3 linked regions of the Astyanax mexicanus genome follow. The protein of the gene in region 2 interacts with the protein of the main gene of each other region in a pairwise test. Links are inferred from orthologs where the notes say so. Each region holds a gene or a part of one and is shown on either strand. Other genes may lie near its edges.

Region 1 (7,030 bases), on a different chromosome or scaffold from region 2:
CCTGAATCTTAAAAACTCAGAGGTGTCAAGTAATGAAGTACAAATACTTTGTTACCCCATCAAAATTGAAATGTTGGATATCTATTCTTTACTAAAGTAAATATTTTTCTGACACAGTTTTACTTCTACATTTTCACACAATTATCTGAATTTTCTACTTCTTACATTTTAAAACTAGCCTTGTTACTCCTATTTAATTTTAGCTTGTTTTAATTGCATCTTATAAAAAACCCTATCCAGATAAACCTCTTCATCCAGAAAGAGTAAATCTGACTGTGGTGGGATGAGAAGTATAAACATATACCATTCCAACACCCTATTGATTTATACAATCACACCTGCACACGTCACGCCCACACTCCAGCAAGAACATAGCAGACATACAAGGGTTGGACAATGACACTGAAACACCTGGTTTTAGACCACAATAATTTATTGTCTCGACGGACAGTTCTGGTGGAAACAGGAGAGTTGAGGTGCACATTGAATTCTGTCGTGATTTGAGCAGCCGTGGTTTTTTGGATAAAATCCGGGTTAGCACCCGAACATCCCTTTCAGACAGCTTTCTCTTACAGCGTCCACAGTTAATCCTCTTGGATGTGGTTGGTCCTTCTTGGTAGTATGCTGACATTACCCTGGATACCGTGGCTCTTGATACATCACAAAGACTTGCTGTCTTGGTCACAGATGCGCCAGCAAGACGTGCACCGACAATGTGTCCTTTTTTTAACTCTGGTAGGTCACCCATAACGTTGTGTGCATTGCAATATTTTGAGCAACACTGTGCTCTTACCCTGATAATTGAATCTTCACACTCTGCTCTTACTGGTGTAATGTGCAATTAATGAAGATTGGCCAACAAGCTGCTCCAATTTAGCCATGAAACCTCCCACACTAAAATGACAGGTGTTTCAGTTTCATTGTCCAACCCCTGTATGTAATCTAGTATGAAGAAAATCTGTACAGAGACTTACGAGAACTTAAGCGAAATGTCCTAAGGTACATTACTTTTACTTTTATACTTCAATTAGTTTTGAAAGCAGTACTTTTACACTTTTATTTGAATAAGAAGCGAGTAGAGTTGATACTTCAACTTCAACAGATACTTCAACAGAAGTATTTTTAACCTTAGAATCTTTACTTCTACCTGAGTAATTAATGTGAATACTTTTGACACCTTTGCAGGTGGGTCCCAACTAGGCCACATATGCAGTGTACAGATCAGATGGGGCCTGCCTGGTCCCCTCACTGACATCCACATGAGGGGCCAACATTACATCTGGGGGCCAAACGTTTTGCTACCCACACAAGCTCCACATGGGCATGTTGTCTGGGTACTTGTGTTTTAGCTAACCTAGCCAGCTACTTAGCTACCTAACTAACTAAATAACTAACGTTGCTGACAAGCTAATTCACCATTCCACCTTAAATGGTACAGCGATTCATATAGCTGCTGCTACTTTTAAGGTGTAACGTAAATTCCAATAACTTTGTCATGGGAATTTTGTTAAGGCTCCACGCAGCCTTCATAGAAACACCATGCTCACATTCACAACCTTTTAAACCCCACTTTACTCTTATATAACCACACATTACACCTAGCTTAACTGGCTAGCGTTATGTAGGTTCGTTAACTAAGGTACAACATGTCAGCTTACCGAGCTAAGTTACTTAGCTAGCTAACAAGTTACTTTACGTTAGCTGATAAGCTAATTCTCCGTTCCACCTTAAATAATATAGAAGCGGGGTATAACTGCTGGTCATTTTAAGGTGTAACGGAGAACTCTCATAGCCACATATTAAACTTAAGTCAGCTAATTCCCCGATCCACCTTAAATTATAAAGCAGTCGCGTTTGACTACTGTTCATTTTAAGAGAACTTTAATAAGAGAATTTTAATAGCTTTGTTAGTTATTGAATTCATACAAGCGCCCTGCTCACATTCATAGCATTTAAACCCTAATGTACTTCCAAACAGCCACCAATTAAACTAGCTACTTTACAGTTCCACCTTAAATGGTATAGCAATCGCGTATAACTACTGCTCATTTAAGGTGGAACAGAGAACTCCAATAACTTTGTTAGATAAAGCTCCACACAGCATAAACCATAATTTACTCTCATATAGCCACATATTAAACTTAACTAAGCCAGGTTAGCTAGCTTAAGCAACATAACTACGTTAGCCGACACAATAATACACGTCAACTGCTACAGCAGTGGCATAGAAATACAGTTATTTTTAAGGTGGAACGGATAATTTCAGTAACTTTGTTAGATTAAGCTCCACGCAGACCCTGCTCACATTTACAGCGTTTAAAAAACACATCTTACTCATATTAGACAACCAGGAATTACACTTAGTTTAGCTTAAATTAACTAAACTAAACTAGGCCAGGCTAGTTTAACCGAGCCGGGGTGTTCTGTCGAGTTGTGCTACCCTTCGATATGCGCTACTTAGCGGCTCTGCGCATGCGCAAAACTCACACTTTTACTGTTTTCATGTGCTTTTTCTATTTTTTCCTGCCAATTTAGTTTTATTTTTCCCGGGTGCACTGTACAATCTGGACTCACAGTCATCGCTTGCTTTAGTGTTACAACCGTGTAAAAAAAAAGTAATAAAAAATGTATATATAAATGTTTTTTACATTTTAAACCACCTAACGTTATATTATACATTTTTCCTGATACAGCGATTTAGGCTATTCAAATTTGATCATACCAACAACACAACTGCATGCAGCATGTTCTAATTATTTGTATTTTTACAGTTAAACATACACTAGGGTAGCACGATTTGACAGGGTAGCACAACTCGACAGAACACAGGGTTAGCTCTAGCCGCTGCTCTGAAGCTCCAGTAGGGAGAGTGGAGCAGCCAGCCGGGCTAACAGCTAGCTTACTAGGCTAACCCCACCACTGAGCCGCACCTGTAAACGAGTCTGGGTAAATGGACTCTATCGCCTCCAGCTCGTTCCGCTGCTCCTCTCCGTAGTCGGTCATTTTATTTCACTGCTGTCCATCAACAGCTCCGCTCCCACCGGCCCTCAGAAACGTGCCTGTCCGCTGAAGAGAGGCTGCACTCGATCTTCTCCACTATCGACTAGTAATGCCTGAAACTCTGACCGCGTCCCAATTCACACGGGTATAGGTGCACTGCTTTAGCAGTTAACGTCTGAAAGTTCAGTTCATACTAATTTAATGTAGCGCTTTTACTGACTAAAACCCGTTTAATATAGAAGAACTAAAGCAGGGGCGTCCGAACTGCGGCCCGTTTCCTTTTTGGAGCGGCCCGCGAGGTATTTTAGAAATAGAATGAAAGTTGGCCCGCTGTTTTTTATAATGTGAGATTCAAAGACGCTAGGTGTCAGAAACGAGCCAAAGAGTCTAAAAGCGGAGAGCGTGCGCATTTCTAGCGCAGAAAAAGTAAACATGTAAGATTTCTTTACTTGTTTTTTTTTTTTTTTAAGCAAAATAGTTTATTTTACGTTCCAAAATTAAAGGAATATCCAGGCTAAGTAGTTAGTTAGTTTTATTCGCCCCATTACTTCTGAGCTTTCTCGCGGGCTCCCTTTGGCGGTGTGCTGTAATTTACTGAGATATGAATTGGGCTCAGGCTTTATCTGCGCCTTCAGCAAAAAAAAAAAAAAAAAACGATTTTATCTATATCGACTACTAAGGTCTGTGACTAAGAACTGTGGCCGCGTCCCATTACAACATGTACAAATTTACATTTTAATACATATCACTATACAATTTAAAAGTTTTCTAGTTGGCTAGTTTACAAGCTGTAAGTTAGCACGCAGTCTAACCAGTTATAAATAAAAAAATCGTTTTAATTGTTTGATGATGCCACAGTGTAGAGATTGTATTGACGATACAATAAATAATACAATAAGCCATATAAGTAATATTAATTATACTAAACTATAATAACTATATCAAAGTAAAACGATCCTGAAATGTACTCTTAAAGTAAGCCACTACTCATTCTTAATGGGACGCGGCCACAGTAAGAGACATTACAAGTCGGTAAGAATACAGAACGCAGACACACTGCGCTCTAGCGAGGTCACTAGGTAAGTGTCCTAGTTATAGTGCATAAAGTGCTCAAACAGCTCTTGGCCGAGAATAATGTTGTTAAAAAGCGCTATCCGCTGATCGCATTAAAACAATTCAGGTAAAAAACACTTTAGTGCTATTTAGCAAATATATAAACACTACAACTACGAGTTGAAAAAAATAAGTTAGTAACGTACTGATTTTAAACAGTTTAAACAGTTTTAGAGGCACCTGGTAATTTCTTATGACTATGCATTATTAAAAGACCTTGCAAGTAACCAAAGTACACAGTAAAATTAATTGTTTAAATGGAATGCTACTTAAATCAGATTTTTTCTCCATAGTGCTGATTGGTTGGTGTTACTGCTATTGCATGCTGATTGGTTGGTGTTACTGCTATTGAGCACTGATTGTTGTATGTTTAGACTTACTGCTACTGAGTGCTGAGTACACTTAGATGACGCTTCTGTTACTCTGTCCTGATTGGTTGTTGTTCCTGCTAATGTACTGATTAGATGGCACTTCTTCTACTGAGTGCTGATTGGATGGCAGTGCTGCTTCTGAGTACTGAGTACCATTGTCATTACCGGTTTGCATTGCTGCTACTGAATGCTGATTGTCTGTCATTGCTGCTACTGCATGCTGATTGGTTTGCATTACTGCTACTGAGTGCTGATTAGTCTGAATTGTTGAGTCCTCATTCGATTGCATTGCTGCTACTGAGTGCTGATTGGTTTGCATTGCTGCTACTAAGTGCTGATTAGTTGTCATAGCCCCTATTGAGTGCTGATTGGTTTGCATTATTACTGCTACTGAGTGCTGATTAGTTTGCATTGCTATTACTGAGTGTTCATTAGTTGTCATTGCTGCTACTGAGTGCTGATTGGATGGCATTGCTGCTACTGAATGCTGATTGGGTGGCATTGCTGCTACTAAGTGTTGATTAGTTGTCATTGCATCCTTATTGGTTTGCATTACTACAACTACATACAAATGCGGATGCTAGTGGTGCAGTCCAAATGATTCAAATCTCAAACATTAATATGCAAGAGCATTTAGTTAACTTTAGCTACAGTTAGAATCTGCACACTCATGTTAGACTACTAATGTATGTTGTCTTTCTGCTGATGAAAACCACACTATCAAAGTCTGCATTTCCTTCCTTTATGTGGTCGTAAACCTACTCAGGGTTTCCTGTCTGTGCTCTGGCTGCACGATAGAAACCTGCGGCTAGCTGCTTCCCCTCCAGAGGCCGGAGTGCCAAAGATGAGCAACTTAGCGCTGCCCAGCAATACTTGGTGTTGTAGTATTGCTGTGAGGAGATAAGAAAGCATTGATCAGATCAGGTATGGAAGATTCTGAAGTTCTGCCATTCCAGCTGTTGTAGAAATGAATTTACAAGGTGTGTCCGCTACAACTCCCATGCGCGTTCGTTGAATAGAGAGTCAAAACAGATGGAGGTGAAGTTGAAAGCAAAACAAGTATTTATTACTGAATTCAGGAGAACATACAAACACGGTTACGACCGTCCAGCATACGTTCTGAACCTCTAATGATCTGACTCCATGTATATACCAAAAATGACGCGAAATCTGCCGATGAGGCGTTGCTAAAAATCATCCCATGTCAGCAGGCATGGTGTTACGTGTTAGAGCTCAAGATTCGCTAGTGTATGGCCTTGAGAATGAGTAGCCAGACAGCACGGCATTGTTCAGTAATTAGACAATGTTTCTCTCCCCGTGCGCATGCCCTCCTCAATTTGACAGGTGGAGGTCTTCACGCGCACGGAGAGAGAAAGACCGTATTGTCTGCCCAAAAGTCTCTGTATTAAGCGAGGTCATGCAGAATGCACTATCTGCTGATTTTGTAGCTGTTAGTGAGAAAAACATGCAATCACACAATGGGTTTCAGTGAGGTGTCAGTGGCGCGTGATTGTCCGCTATACAATTAGGTCTATACGTTTATGTATCATGTGGGTTAGTTTGTCAGCCTAAGGCCTGTGTTTAGTCACATGCTTGTTAAAAACAATGCTTCACTATTAGTTTTCTATATAAATGTGTAAAAAATATACTGTGAGTAATAAAATGATCAAATATAGTGTTAACATTGGTTAATGCATATAAAATAGTTATGAAATGATCAAATGTAGTGTGAGTATTGGTTAGTGCATATAAAATACAAGGTTTCACACGATGATTATGTAATTTTAGATACCAAGATAAGTAATCATGATTGTGAGATGTTTGTCAATATATTCAAGGTAAAACGAGGTTTCTTCGTAAGATTTCCCACAATTCCCCCTTTCGACGTATCAAACAGATACGTCGACAAACCGTAATTCCTCCAATCATGTATTTACATATGTTCAACCCTTGATCAACATGTGAGTGAACATTGTACTAAAATGTGAGAGCGAAAACCTGTCGCGGCAGCCTTCCAACCTATTTTGACAGGAAAAATTCTCTCACAGCCCCTCTGCCACCCAGGCGGCTAATGAGATGAACTCTATCAAAGGAGGAAGTGACATCATAACCTTAAAGTCATCCCCAGACTAGGTGATCTACAGCAGTTCCTCTTGCTCTTCCTCACATTCCAGTATAGGCCGATCCCAATTGACATGTGTCGACCTAATTACGTGTTCCCACTTGTTACAAGGTCTGGCTTTATAAGCTGCTTAATCGGTGTTATGGGTGATTCTCATGAAGCTGCATGCAACATGTCCATGACAATTTTTAAAATCAGTACTTAATTCACAAAAACTCTGATATTGTGTGTAAAGCAAATAGGTAGTACTGTATGGATCAATTGTTTTCATTATCATAGAAAATTATTTTTATATAAATTAATTAAAAAAAATATATATGGAAATTCTCATCACCGTTATGTGTCCGTACCCCTTCCTTCTAATTTCAAGTTAAACCATATTAAAAGTACTAAGCATATCGAATCAATAAAATAGATTAAAGTC
Region 2 (7,302 bases):
ATGTTCTGGACTGATCTATGATTTCTTTTGGATGCCCGACTCATCTGATGGCCTGATGCTGGAGAGACCAGTGCATTATGTAGCCTGACGAAGCAAAAACACCCCCCGGCCTGTTCCGGCAGGCCTACGAGGTTACACAATGTTCCAGATCGATGGTGGATCCAGCAATTTCACCAACATTTGAGTGATTATACTGTATGCAAAGTAAATATGAACAATAAAAAGAAACTATTTACCAAAAACAATTTGTGCTGCTGGTGTCTGAGTGCTGAGTTTGTATTGTTGTTTTTTTGTAATTTGTTTATTCGGTTTTTTAAATGATTGGTTAAACAGCTATGGAGGAACCAAAACTGCCAAAATTAAAGTAAGTAAATCACTCAATAAAAGTAATATGGTGATGTAAAACAGTAAGGAATAATTATGATTAATATAAAAATATATACATATACATACAAATAAAATCTTAATAATTTAAAATATGTTAATAATTTGTTTCTTTATTTTTTTTATTAATTTATTTATTTGCATATTTATTTCTGCATTATTTACAGATTTATTTATTTCTGTTTTTCCTTGTCCTTATATGATAATGAAGGGGGCGTGTTTTTCACGTACAGGTTTAGCAATCAAGAAAGAAAGGAGCTGATATGAGTAGAAGAGTCCAGGAGCTGAAACGTCGGGGAGAAGTTTGTTATCGGATCTGCTCAGAGAGGCAGTAGCTTATGTTGCTCACCTCAAAGAAATAGACCAGAGTCTGTATTACGATCTAAGTGATCTTCATTAAATAATTTTCCACGTTACCAAAGTTACTGCCAAAGGAGCAAAAAATGTACAATCCATCTAGGGTATCTGACATCGATTAACCAATAGGAATGCTAAGACACTGTGACATCATTACTGGACAGACCTCTCATTATCATATAAGGACAAGGAAAAACATAAATAAATAAACCGGGAAATAAATGAATGCAGAAATAAATAGTCATGTTAATAAATAAACAAATGAATCAAAATAAAAAAATATTTTAAATAATTTTAATAAAGACACCCCTAAATAACAATTTATACATAAATAAGATATTTATTTTTATATTATTTATAATTATTCTTTACTATTTTAATCACCGTATTACTTTTATTGAATGATTTACATACGTTTATATTTCTTTATTTATTTTTAATTTTGGCAGTTTTGGTCCTCCATAAACAGCATAGATCTCAGTTAACGCAGTGTTTTAAGTGAAATATATTATAAAAAAAAATAAAAAAAACTACAAGAGTAAAAGGGAAAAAATAAAGAAATAAAAGGCGGGAAATAAGAAAAAAGGTGGAAGAGGAAATAGAAAAACAAAACAAAAACCTTGACATATATATTTAGAGTACAACTTCTTAGCAGAGCCATTCATTGAGCACCTAATAGGAGAAGAGGATTTCTATCTATTTAGTATTAATCGTCTGGCCAGCAAAGTAAGTGCTGAGGTTTATGGGAGTATTAAGATTATTGCTGATTGTATTCTGTGAACATGTGACTGGTTGTTAAGCTGAATTGTATAAATATAAATATATTTTATGTAGTACGTACATGATTGGGGTACTTAAAAAAAGCTACTATTTTTCTACTATTAATATGTGTAATATCTGATACAAAATGTCTGTATATAATGTGTGATATATTGATTTCAAGTATGGACCCAGGCCCACATTTACTACAAAATGTAGTTCTACTTTTAAGGGGACCTATTATATACCATATTTTTACACAAGCTACAATATTGTAGATCTATGTGCTATACAAACATGTTCATTAAGTTTTTTTTAAGGAAAATCACACACACAGTCCCTTTCAGAATAAGCCATTAGGGCTCTGTCACTTTTATGCCAATAAGCTCTTGTTGGCAACACATGTTTACACTGAGCGTTTACCACACCTTAGTGTTAGCTTGTGCTAAATGGCATAACACTGTAATAGAAACAATTCTATAATTCATTATTTGAAAGTTCTTACATCTCCTGACTTGCAGCAGACAGTAGGTACAGATCCCTTCCTCAGACGAAGTCTGCAGGCTAATCCTGCTGTGTACCAGGGCTGGACTGGTAATCTGGTGTACCGGGCAAATGCCCGGTGGGCCGACAGTCCTTAGGGGCTGATGATTTTTTTCTTCGGCCCACAAATTAGAGGGGGTCTCTCTCTCGCTCCCTCGCTCGCCTAATCACGCGCTTTCTCTCTCTTTCTCTTACTGTCTCTCTCTCTCTTTTTCTCGCTCTTTCCCTTTTTTCTCTGTCTCTCGCTCGCTCTCTCTCTCTCTGTCTCTCTTTTTCTCCCTGGCTCTCTTTCTCTCTCGCTCTCTCTCTGATGTAAGTGATTGACACCACTTATATAATTTAATTGTATCAATTTAAAGCTGATATTTTTAAAAAAGAACACTAAAATGCATCCAGTAATAATGATAAAATATTAGTAGTTAAAGTAATGATGTTGTTTTTGTTTTTAATAAAGCGCCACAATCATGCCCATTGTTTGTTTGTTCTACCTAGATCAAAAGATCCTCTCATGATGAGAGTAGAAGTGAACCCTGGTTTCAAGCATTTAATAAAAGAGCTTGAGCCCTGTTACAACATTCCATCCCAAAAAAACAAAACATGACTAGAATAAAGTTAATTTTTATTATGAAGTTGATAATGGTGAGGCTATATAGAATGCCCTATTTGTAGCCTGATACAAGTACATGTTATAGCTGTTTAAAGGAGGAAGCACCTTTAACCTGAAAAAATAGAAATAAAACAAATACATATTAGAGATTATTTCAATAAAAAAGATAAAAAATCAATTGAACTACACAGAGCAGACACAAATGGCGGAGTTAAAATTAGACAATAAACGTGTTATATTTAATATGCTGATGATACATTATGCTTCTCTGTAACCCCACAAACATAAATTACATGTTGGTTGTGCTCCGCAAATTATGAGGGGCCGTTCTAAAGCAAAAATGCCAGGGCCGATTTTTTTGTCCCAGTCCAGCCCTGCTGTGTACTGTCTGAGGTTCTCAACCAGCAGACTGAAGTGGCGTTTCTTCAACTGATCTTGTGGGTGAGGCTCTGGTTAAGCATACATATATACAAAATACGTTTATGCATAACACTATTATATTATATGTGGGTTTTTATCCTTTAATAAATAAGCTGCAATTCTTTTTTTTTTTTTTCAAAAAACCCTTCAGCACAGCAGAGCATTTTAAAGATTTTAAATTCAGTGCTCTGGCTGTAGCATCAGCTCACCAACCAACCAATCAGCTCACAGTATCAGTGATGCAGCACCTTTACTGCCTAAAACCAGTTTACTGTAGAAAAACTGAATAATGTACAGGTAAGTTTTATACGCTTTTTTAGCAAAATCATTTTAATTTGAAAAATATATTTTTCGGAATATCCTGGCCAAATTATTAATTACTATTTTTAATTTGAGTTTTTAGCTGTTTAACTCCATTCACTCCCATTTATTGAGGACTCACTCGCTGGCTCCCTCTAGCGGTTCATAGTTATTTTCTGATATTAATATCAGAATATATGTATATATATATATAACTGATGCTCTCAAACACTTTATTAAGAGGCAAAAAATTCAACTAAGAGTAATTAGCTCTTTACAAGTTCAGCTGAACTGAAAGCCTGAATTTCAAGTGACAAGCTGACTGAAAAAATCCAGCAGAGATGTATAAATCTGACCATCTAAGCAAGAGGTGAAACTTTGAGGTATGTGAAATAAAAAAAACATATTCTGGTTTGTTTACAACAATTTTTCCATTATAATTTGTCTGAGTTTGGTATTAGTCTACAATGCAGAACATGTTGATACTGTATAGTAAACCCTGTTAAAACCAGGGATATTCCGCCAAATATTACTTACTAAACTCTTAAACTTTTTGAATATGAAGTTGTTTTCTTTGCATTATTTGAGGTCTGAAAGCTCTGCATCTTTTTTGTTATTTCAGCCATTTCTCATTTTCTGCAAATAAATGCTCTAAATGACAAAATTCTTATTTGGAATTTGGGAGAAATGTTGTCTGTAGTTTATAGAATAAAACAACAATGTTCATTTTATTCAAACATAAACCTATAAATAGCAAAATCAGAGAAACTGATTCAGAAACTGAAATGGTGGTCTCTTATGTTGCTGCACACAGCTGTATATGGTGACGGTGGCTGTGTGCAGCTGTTACTCCTGTCCAGCAGGTGGGGCTCTGTCTCCCTCCGCTCAGCGCCGGGAACCGCGAGGATCTACAGCACAGCATGTCAGAAGTCTGAGCGCGGCGGCTAAAACCCAGAAAATCCAACTTTACAGAGCCGAACAGAACCAGAACCGAGCCCGCTCCGCCTGATACAGCTCCCCCTGACCCGGTTCTGACCGACCCAGCGCCGCAAACATGAGTTTACTCGCTAAAATCGCAGAAATAGAGAACGAGGTTAGTGAGATTAGCCTGTTAGCATCGGGCCGCTACTCGCCTCCATTCATTTTTACAGCGCTTTATCTTCAATAAACTGATAAATACTCTTATTTTACTGCATTTATACTCACTGAGAAACTGTATTTAGCTGTTTATATTAATGTAGACCTTTTACAGTGCTCCTAATACTGCTAGGAAACACTGGGACCTGTTTAGAGTAAAAATATCTAAAATTAAATACTATAGAAACTATAAACATGAGCATATTACCACAAAATATACATCTAAAATTACGAATATTATGATGTTGTCTATTTAAGTTACTGTTCCAATATTTAAATAATGTTAAACATATGTATTGCAGGTTTAAGAAGCTGTAGTAGCATATATGACTGTAAATTATTGAGTACTGAAATTATTTTTGTAAAGAAAAAAAGTGTTTAACAAACCAGAATATATTTTTTAAAGTGGCACCTCTTGCATAACAGTTTTGCATATCTCAGCTGGATTGTCTCAGTCAGCTTTATGAGGTAGAGTCAACTGGAATTCAGGCTTTTAGTTAACAGCTGTGCTGAACTCATCAAGAGTTAATTACTTGAATTTCTTCTCCTCTTTATAAAGTGTTTGAGAGCATCAGTTGTAAAGTAGTGAAGAGGTATTGTTACAGGTATACAGTGAATAGTGAATATTTGAGTAATGTTCTAATCCAGATTATGAGAAGCAAGAACTACTCAACTAAATAATAAAAAACTCCTTTTAATAGAATAAAACAGTAAACTGTAGGAAAGAAAGTATCCTCAAGTGCAGTTTCTGCAAAGACCATAAAAAACGTTTTATAATGATGGAACTGGCTCTCATCAGGACCGCCCCAAGGAAAGGAAGAGCAATAGCAAGAGCAATCCTGTTGTACAGGATCAGTTCATCAAAATTACCAGCCTCAGAAACTGCAAGTTAGCAAACAGCTTCCAGAAAATAGCACCTAAACGTTTCACAGAGTATTTTGGTTTGTTTAACACTTTTAAGTTACCACATGCTTCCTTATGTGTTCCTTCATAGTCTGGATCACTTCATTATTCATTTACAATGTAGGAAAAACTAAAATAAATAAATAAATAAATTTGGGTGGGTTTCTGATGTTTACTGTTCAGAGTGCTGATATATGACTATTACATTTATAATATAAAGTGCTACAACTGTGTTTTATCTTGTACTACAGATGGCTCGTACTCAAAAAAACAAGGCCACAGCTCATCACCTGGGGCTGCTGAAAGCCCGACTGGCCAAACTCCGGAGAGAGCTCATCACTCCTAAAGGAGGCGGAGGAGGAGGACCTGGAGAAGGTACGAGCAGGGAGGCTTTTCTCTAAAACTGTGGAACTTCATATTATTAAGAAACTAAGATTAAGATTTATTCTAAAAACAGTGTAGAACTTCTAGGGTACACTTGTGATGATGATGATGATTATGTGTCTGTACACTTAGTTTACAGATTTGTATGAAGCAGCTATGAGAATTTTGGTTGTTTAATAATAAAGAATGTACTGAAATGAACATTTTGGATGTTTACATCAAGGTTCATATCAATTTAGTCCCTTTTTTTTACATTTTTATAAATTAAAAAGTTTATAAGTACTTTTGTCTTGCTTTTCAAAGCGAACATGAATACTCTGTAGAAATGACTTCGTCTTTTCTCTTATTGCCCAAAAATTAAAAATAAATCAAATCTAGTGTAGCTGCATATATTGCATATGTTTTTGTTTGCGTTGCATTTGCAAACATGCAAATCGGTAATCCGAATTGTTTAAAAATGATGTGATAGACCCCAATTTCCAATCACATGATCTTATTGGGAACATCCCTACTAGCAGTAATGTTTATATTGCAGTACCCAGACAGTCAGGGTCTCAAGCTCAAATTAATGAAGAAATACAGTTAAGACTAGTACAATAAATATAATATATAATATAATAAATTAAATAAGAAGAATAAGCTATGATAAGCTGAGTTCCTTATTAAAACACTAATTTTTATTTGTTTCAGGTTTTGATGTTGCGAAGACGGGTGATGCGCGTATCGGGTTCGTGGGCTTTCCCTCTGTGGGTAAATCCACGCTGCTGAGTAACCTGGCTGGAGTTTACTCCGAGGTCGCCGCCTACGAGTTCACCACGCTGACCACAGTGCCGGGAGTCATCCGCTACAAAGGAGCCAAAATCCAGGTTCTTACAACAGCTCTTACCTTTAAAACAGGCAAAACTACAGACAAAATCTGACTTCAACATCTGTCTTTATTAGAAGATATACTTTACACCATGTTTATACATAACAAAGTTTTAAACTGTCCGAAACTCCATAATCAAGTCTATTAGAGATCACTGAACACCTCCACACAACATAATGAGAGCCTGCGGTTATTACAGTGCTAACTAATGTGGTATAAAATTTCCATCAAGAGCTAAAATAGCCTTTTGTTTCAGCTGCAGGCACGAAATATGACTTTGCTGCTCAATTTTATTTTGGTTATTCATGATTTGAGAGAAATCATCTTAATTTTTTCAATTTACCTTTATTTTTACTCTGGGATATATTGAGGGTAATCTTAGCTGAGCCAAGTTTACAAACTAAAGGACTGAAAAAATAAGTAAATTAACATCAAAATCAACTTAAGCTAAAATAAGGAACTTAAAAAAAAAAAAACATTAAAAGGTAAAAACAATATAATCTTCAATTAATAAGAAATATAATAAAACAGAATACAAGGATAAGTGCACAGGCTAAAATGTAAAGCAGTAAAATAAAGAGATAAATAATTAGAATAATAAAAGACACAATTAAACACAAATAAAAGATAAGTGGATTCA
Region 3 (7,062 bases), on a different chromosome or scaffold from region 2:
ATCTACAGAACAGAATCAAGGAGCTGGAGGGAGGGAAGACTGCAGGCAGCACATCTTCAGGTGGAGATCATTTCCGAGATTTCTGGTCCAGATGGAATGAAGAGGCCAGAAGGCACAGAAGGGGGAGAGAGCGATTTTATCAGAACAATTCTAGGAGGCACTATAACTTTTGGTCATATTTTACACCGAGGGACATGCCAAAACCAGACATTCCAGACAGAGAAGAAGCTAAGCGCTGGTACCGACAGGCAGAATGTGACCTCAGCGCTGCTCAGAGTGAACCTGCGGCGAGTCCTGAGTGGAATCTGTTTAAAGTGCATCAGGCCGTGGAAAAAGCCCTGATAGCCTCAGAGTACAGGAGAAAGGGACGACACTCCGGGAATGTCTCCATCACAGGTCTCGCCCAACAGATTTCCCACTACAGCCCCCACCTCAGTGAGGTACCCAGTGCTGTAGCCCAGCTCAGGACACTTGGTGTAGATGCCAAGAAAACTCAGTACCCAAACTGCCATCCACCACCCTGCATACCACACGATCAGTTCAGACATGAAGATGCAAGAGAAGCAGTGAAGATTGCAGCAGAGCTTCTGAAGAATGTAGAAAAATACATTACTGGATGAAGGATTAGTTTACTTGTTTACTGAGTGTTTGAAGATTGAATCTTCAGCACTGATTTACTTCTTTCTGAACCTAATCTAGAATAACTGATGTTGAAATGTAATTTAATTTACCATAATTTAAAATTAGTTCTTTCTTATTAGGGTTGTGCACTGCAAACCAATTACTATTCTAACTCCAGTGCTTTTTGGAACAACAGATTTTGTACATATTTGTTTTCTGTTAGGAATTATTGGGGTGCAACTGTTTGACATAATGACACAAAAATGCCAGTAACACTCAACCAACCATGTGGGGCATTACAACAAACATTTTTTAATACTTAAGAAACCACCTGAGGAACCACTGCAAGTATCCAGAATTACTATAGCAACTGCCTAGCATCCACCTAGCAACCACTAAACGATACCATAGCCACTGCATTAAATACCATAGCATCCCCACTGCAGTACTGTTGAAACAACACGATTAAGACTTAGCAACCACCTTTGATACTATAGCAACCAGCTAGCAACACCATATGAACCATTTAGGATACCATAGCATTTGTCTAGCATCCACCCTATCCAAGTCCTTGCAACCACTATACAACACTATAGACACCACCTGAAATAACATAGTAATTAATTCCATTGCAATGCTGCCAAGCAGTCACCTAGCAACCACTTAGCTACCACTTGGGGCACCAGGGCAACCAGCTTGCAACACTATATAAACCACCATAGATACCAAAGTGTCTGGCCAGCATGTACTTAGCAAAACCCTAACTACCACTAAACAACACCACAGCTACTACTGTAAATGCCATAGTTATTACATTGATACGCTGTAGCGGCCAACAAGCAAGCAGTTAGCAACACCTTAGAACCCACCTAAGATACCACAGCACGTGCCAAGAAAATACTTAGCAACACCTTAGCTACCACTAAGCAACACTATAAACACCACCTGAAATACCATAATTACACTGTTACCACTTAGGGTAGCATGGCAACCAGCTCACAAAACAATATTAATGACCTGAGATAACATAGCAGCCATGCAACTAAATGGGAACCTTTTTTTCGTTCTGATGGTGTTGTATGTGTTGTTTCTTCTATTTAGATTTTTTTTTCCATTTCTAACTGCCTTTTTTCTGACCTATTCATGTATTTCTACTAAGACAATAAATATCAAATGGAAAGACTGGTGTTTAAGTGTCTGGGTTTGTTTTATAATTAATCGTGTAGTCATATAGACAGTAAGGTTATATTGCTTTCATAAGAATATTTCATGTATATATATATATATATATATATATATATATATATATATATACATATGTATATATATGTGTATATATATATATATATATATATATATATATATATATATATATATATTCACCTAAATCTGAATTTCCAAGAGAGGTAAAAAAAAAAGGGTACTGCTGTATGTTAATATTGATGAGTGATCACGTACTTTAATATAATATTTAATAATATATATATTTTTAAATATTATAATATTTAATATTGGTTCTGTGAGGTCAAACTGTCCCTAAGCAAAACACTTCTGCAGAAAAAAGCACATTATAACAAGACAACAAGTGTGTACAGTAAATTGCTGACAATTAGCTAGTAGTAATTGGCTGTAGTAAATTTTACAGTATGCATACTGTACACTTTATCACAGTACCTATTAAACAGTAACAAATACAGTACTGTTTTTTTTTATAATCACAGGCTGTTGTATTTTTTCACAGTAAATATTAGACAAAAATTAAATGCATTACTGCATTAATTTAAACATGTTTTTCAGAAAAGTCTATTTACATTTACCAATTTCATACCCTTACCAAAAAGGTCCCGCGGGATTCCTGCAAAAATGTGCAGGTACTACCTGCAGGGGTTGTGTAAGGGATCTTTCTGCAGAACTTTAATCCTAAAGGATTTTCAATGATTGTTTTCCAGCTAACACTTGAAGCAGATACAAAATTAACAAAAAAGAATCATGATGTAATATTAATTGTATTAATATTCTTTATAATATAATATACTAGTTTATATTAAAGTAATCCTATATTGTTTCAAGCAAAGTTACTTTTTACTTGTATATTAAACCAAACAACGATGCCTTGTTCAAATTATGAATACACTCAAGGTTATAAGGCACCCACGAAAATGAGTTGAAATAAATTAAGGTGTTACAGTTAGTAACATAGAAAACCGCTCAGTGGTCTTACTCTGACATAATTTGCTGTTATTTTGCAGCACTCTGTTTCTATGTTTGCTATTACACTCCATTAGTTTTTTTTTAATTAAAAATACATATTTTATTAGTTTTACTGAAACATATTTTATTAATAAACTTGTCAAACAAGTAAAACCATCGAAGCAAAGTGCTAAATATGCAGCTGCTATATAAATGATTAAAATGTAATCAATTTTTATACTGCAAAAAAACTTAAATTATATTGACTGTAATCCATGTACAGTAACATTTATTCATTTGATATTCAATTGGAAATTCCACCTTAAATGCTTATTGCAGTAACACACACAGTCATCCTTATTTAAGGTGGAATGGAAATACTAATAAGAAAATAGTGAAGAATGTAATATTGAATTGAATATCAAATGAACTAAGTTAATGACACACTGATTTACTGTCTTAGGCATTTTTAAGACCATTGGGAGACCAATTTAAGACATTTTAAGACAAAGGAATGACTTTTACTGCACTTTTTTGGGCAGGAAAAGGTTGCTGACAGACTAACCTACTAGGTTAACTAGCGTTAGTTATTTAATGCTTAAAATGTTAAGGTTACCCAGAGACGACCCAGAGATACAACTAGATTTTATTTATCTTAAGTCTACCGAATTCTTAAATCATACTAACTTACCAAAATAATCTATTTTCTTACCTTTAAAATTCTAAATTTTACCCTGCCTCAGTCCATTTTCAGTAATGTTAGTAAGCTAATCTAGCCTTAGCCTAGCATAGCTAGCCTAGCATTTACCTCAGAAAAACCTTCGAGTTTTTTGTTGAAATCATTATTCTTTTCAGTCACAGTGCTTTGAGTAGCAAAGATAATCATAATATGCCTTAGAGATGATAGTAAATAAGTTACTACTAATAAAAGTTCGATATGTAAGTAGTAAATGTTAATAAAATAAATGTTTACCTCATAAAGGTTGCATTTTAATGATTTTCAAACGCACGAAATATCAAACCAATATAAACATTTTCTTTGGGGTTTAATGAGTTTTAATAAAGATATAACCCACTTCAACTTTCACTTTATATTTACCTGCATTTTTGCTGCCCCCTTTCGACACACACACTCTCTCACACACACTTTTACACACGTTAGCCTCCCCCTACACACACATTAGTGCAGCCGTGCTGAGCACCGCGCCGCGCAGCGCCGGGACCCGGGTGTTTTTACAGCCGCCGAAATGCCTCCAAAGAAACCCGCTCCAGCCACAGGCAGCAAAAAGACCCAGGAGAAGAAGAAGGAGAAGATTATTGAGGTCGGTGGCGGATAAACCGCGAAAACTGGGCTCATACTGACCCGCTGCTGCCCGGCCATGCTCCAGACCCTGGCCCGGCGGTCTACCTTAATTTAGCTTAGCCTAGCTTAGTTTAGCATCTTTAGCGCCAAAGCAGACGTAACGTAGCTTAGCATAGCTACTATAGGATCTGGCCGTGAGTTAACCTAACATAAATGAGCTAAGCTATCTTCAGCGCCAAACCAGATGTAATTTAGCATAGCTTAGCATAATTGCTATTATAGCTTAGGTTAGCATAACATAGTTACGGTAGGATTTGACCGTAGCTTAGCTTAGCACAGTTACTATAGAATTTGGCCTTAGCTTATTTTAACATTTATTCAGCGCGGAAGCAGATGTACTTTAGCTTAGCTTAGCTTAGCTTAGCATAGTTAGCCTAGCTAACTCTTTCCCCAACACGTCAACCCGGCTTGCTGGTGACAGCTCAAAACTCCCATAGCTAGCTAATCGATGACCGGAATGTATTGACAAGTGACCTAATCGATAAAATAGCGCTTATTGATTAGAGCTTATTTCATATGTATAGCTTTAACATGGATATAAAGCTAATTCTATTATCCTTAGGGCTGCATTTGGTTGGCTAGCTAACGATAGCTAACTCGCTTCTAGAAGCGTTGAATGGTGTGGTTAGCTTAGCTAGCTATAGATAGTTGGAAGTTGGCTAGCTAGCTACAGTAGTAGCATACATTCTATAAAATATAGATATAAACATTTTTAATAAGCCAGCTCAGATTAATCTTATGGATAACTGCTTAATAGTATGTCGAATAAGCAAAGAAGCAGTGATTTAGCTGAAAGTTAGTTAACTAAAAAGAACATTTTAGCAATTCCTAGCTTTAGCTCGCTAGTTTTTCAGTGTGTTAGGCCTGATCCTCATGGCTTTCTGTGAACACTAAAACACCCTTCTCATAACATATAATATATAATGTGCTTTCTATACATTGATATAGTGGTTTTAAAGTATTAATATATTATTATATTATCCATCAGTTCATTAAACTGTTCCCTTTTTTAACAGATCTATTTAACAATCTGTTCTCTCAGTTAAATAATTTGTTCCCTCAGTTTAGTAAATCACTCCCTTGATTTAATGATTAAATTGTTCAGTTTAATAAATTAAACAAATCTTTTAAATTTGTCAGTCTTGACAAAGACATTCATCATTTGTGTTGGACAGTGGACACAGACTTCCATTTAATGATACCAAGCCATTATAAAGTACCAAGGTGGGGGAAAAAGAAATCTGGAGATTTAGAAGTTGTTTTTCTAGCTTAATAAATTGTTAAATATCTTGTTTCCTCAGTTCAATAAAGCATATCCTGGTTTAGGTGTTCTGTAAATAGGTGTATATTACTGCATATGAAATTATGTAATTTAAAAGAACTAGCGGTCTTCTGGTGCCTTCCCACACTCTTTATATACCTTTATCTCTCTTGAATTCCACCAGTTTTTTAAAGTAAATTATTTCCTGCAATTTTGTTAATTTGAACGGACAGGTTATTAAACTGAGAAACAGTTAACAAGGTTTCAGACATAAGGGAGTACTCTTAATATTGTACTTAATAATTTGTTTAATAGGGACAGTGCTTTAATTGGATTAATTGGTTAAATAACAAAGTTACTTACTTGGATTAAAATTGTAATAGACTTGTTTATCAAAAACATGTGCAGATATGTAATATTTATATTATATAATACAGTATTTTAATATACATTATTTACAGAATCTGTCACGGACTGATGTTTATTACAGAGATAATTACATGAATTGGCAAATTCTTTTGTCAGAAATGTGTAGGTAGACATTGCATCCATTGTGGGCATTTTTCTGTAGCTTTTATTTGTTCATCAATGGAAATTAGAAAATACAGTAACAGTAAATCTTTGGACACCTTCCAAAGAAAAAAAAAATATTTTTTTTTTATGTTTTTCAAAATGTTTTGCATTGTAGATTAATATTAAAGTAACTCAAGCTATAACAACATAAATCAGAAGACTGTTAAACAAAGCAACATATGTTTTATATTTTAGACTTTTCAAAGTAGCACCTCTAGTTAGGCTTTCAGTTTACAGCTGTGCTGAACTCATCAAGAGTTAATTACTTAATTGAACTACAAGTTAACTGCAACCCAGATAAGAGCATCTAAATGCTTTACACACTATTTTGGTTTGACACTTCTAAGTTACAACATGATTCCTTATGCATTTTGTTTTAGAGACGTTCAGCTGTAAAAGAAATATCTTGTCCTGTTCACCTCCACTGTGCATTTGTGTCATATATTTTTTTTGTCATACATACATTTGATAACCATTAAATAATTAAGAGATGTTAGAATGTACTCATTCGGGTCTGTTGTTGTTTGTCACAGGATAAGACGTTTGGACTGAAGAACAAAAAGGGAGCCAAACAGCAGAAATTCATCAAAACAGTCACACAACAGGTTAAATATGGGCAGCAGAACCCACGGCAGGTAAGGGCTGGGCTAAATGCCACATCTTTGACCTGATTTAGACGTTTCGGCAGGTTTGCAGTCTTTTGATTATTGTTATATTTATCAGGCGGCCGAAGCTGACAAGTCTAAGAAAACTGACAAGAAGAAAGAGCTTTCTGAGCTGAACGAGCTCTTTAAGCCTGTGGTGGCAGCGCAGAAAGTCAGCAAAGGTAATGCCTGCTGTTATAGCTACAACATGAACCTATTAAAACAGTGCTTAAGAAAGAGTATAGAGTAAAGCCCTGGGTATTGAGCTGTAGAGCAGTAGAGCTCTATCCAATACTTTTGGATGCTCCAAAATCTAGTAGAACTTCTTTATTGGGCAGTACACACACTTACTCAAACAAAAGCAGAATAAACTCTCTTTAATACTCTTTATTTATGAAGAAACACTAAAT

The links. The genes of interacting proteins can lie anywhere in the genome.
Region 1: the proteins of drg1 (region 2) and rwdd1 interact in binary tests that used the Homo sapiens proteins (3 or more experiments, as listed by UniProt). The two-hybrid records come from large-scale screens. The link is inferred for Astyanax mexicanus from reciprocal best matches to the Homo sapiens genes DRG1 and RWDD1.
Region 3: the proteins of drg1 (region 2) and zc3h15 interact in binary tests that used the Homo sapiens proteins (3 or more experiments, as listed by UniProt). The two-hybrid records come from large-scale screens. The link is inferred for Astyanax mexicanus from reciprocal best matches to the Homo sapiens genes DRG1 and ZC3H15.

The regions. Positions count from the first base shown.
Region 1 is NC_064411.1:31,734,807-31,741,836, reverse strand, and holds the start of rwdd1 (RWD domain-containing protein 1), read right to left. Parts: upstream 3,106-7,030; 5' UTR 3,004-3,105; coding exon 2,931-3,003; intron 1-2,930. UniProt on the Homo sapiens protein: Protects DRG2 from proteolytic degradation.
Region 2 is NC_064427.1:20,149,807-20,157,108, forward strand, and holds the start of drg1 (developmentally-regulated GTP-binding protein 1), read left to right. Parts: upstream 1-4,230; 5' UTR 4,231-4,424; coding exon 4,425-4,463; intron 4,464-5,661; coding exon 5,662-5,785; intron 5,786-6,484; coding exon 6,485-6,660; intron 6,661-7,302. UniProt on the Homo sapiens protein: Catalyzes the conversion of GTP to GDP through hydrolysis of the gamma-phosphate bond in GTP. Appears to have an intrinsic GTPase activity that is stimulated by ZC3H15/DFRP1 binding likely by increasing the affinity for the potassium ions.
Region 3 is NC_064418.1:49,357,233-49,364,294, reverse strand, and holds the start of zc3h15 (zinc finger CCCH domain-containing protein 15), read left to right. Parts: upstream 1-3,957; 5' UTR 3,958-4,058; coding exon 4,059-4,133; intron 4,134-6,541; coding exon 6,542-6,643; intron 6,644-6,731; coding exon 6,732-6,834; intron 6,835-7,062. UniProt on the Homo sapiens protein: Protects DRG1 from proteolytic degradation. Stimulates DRG1 GTPase activity likely by increasing the affinity for the potassium ions.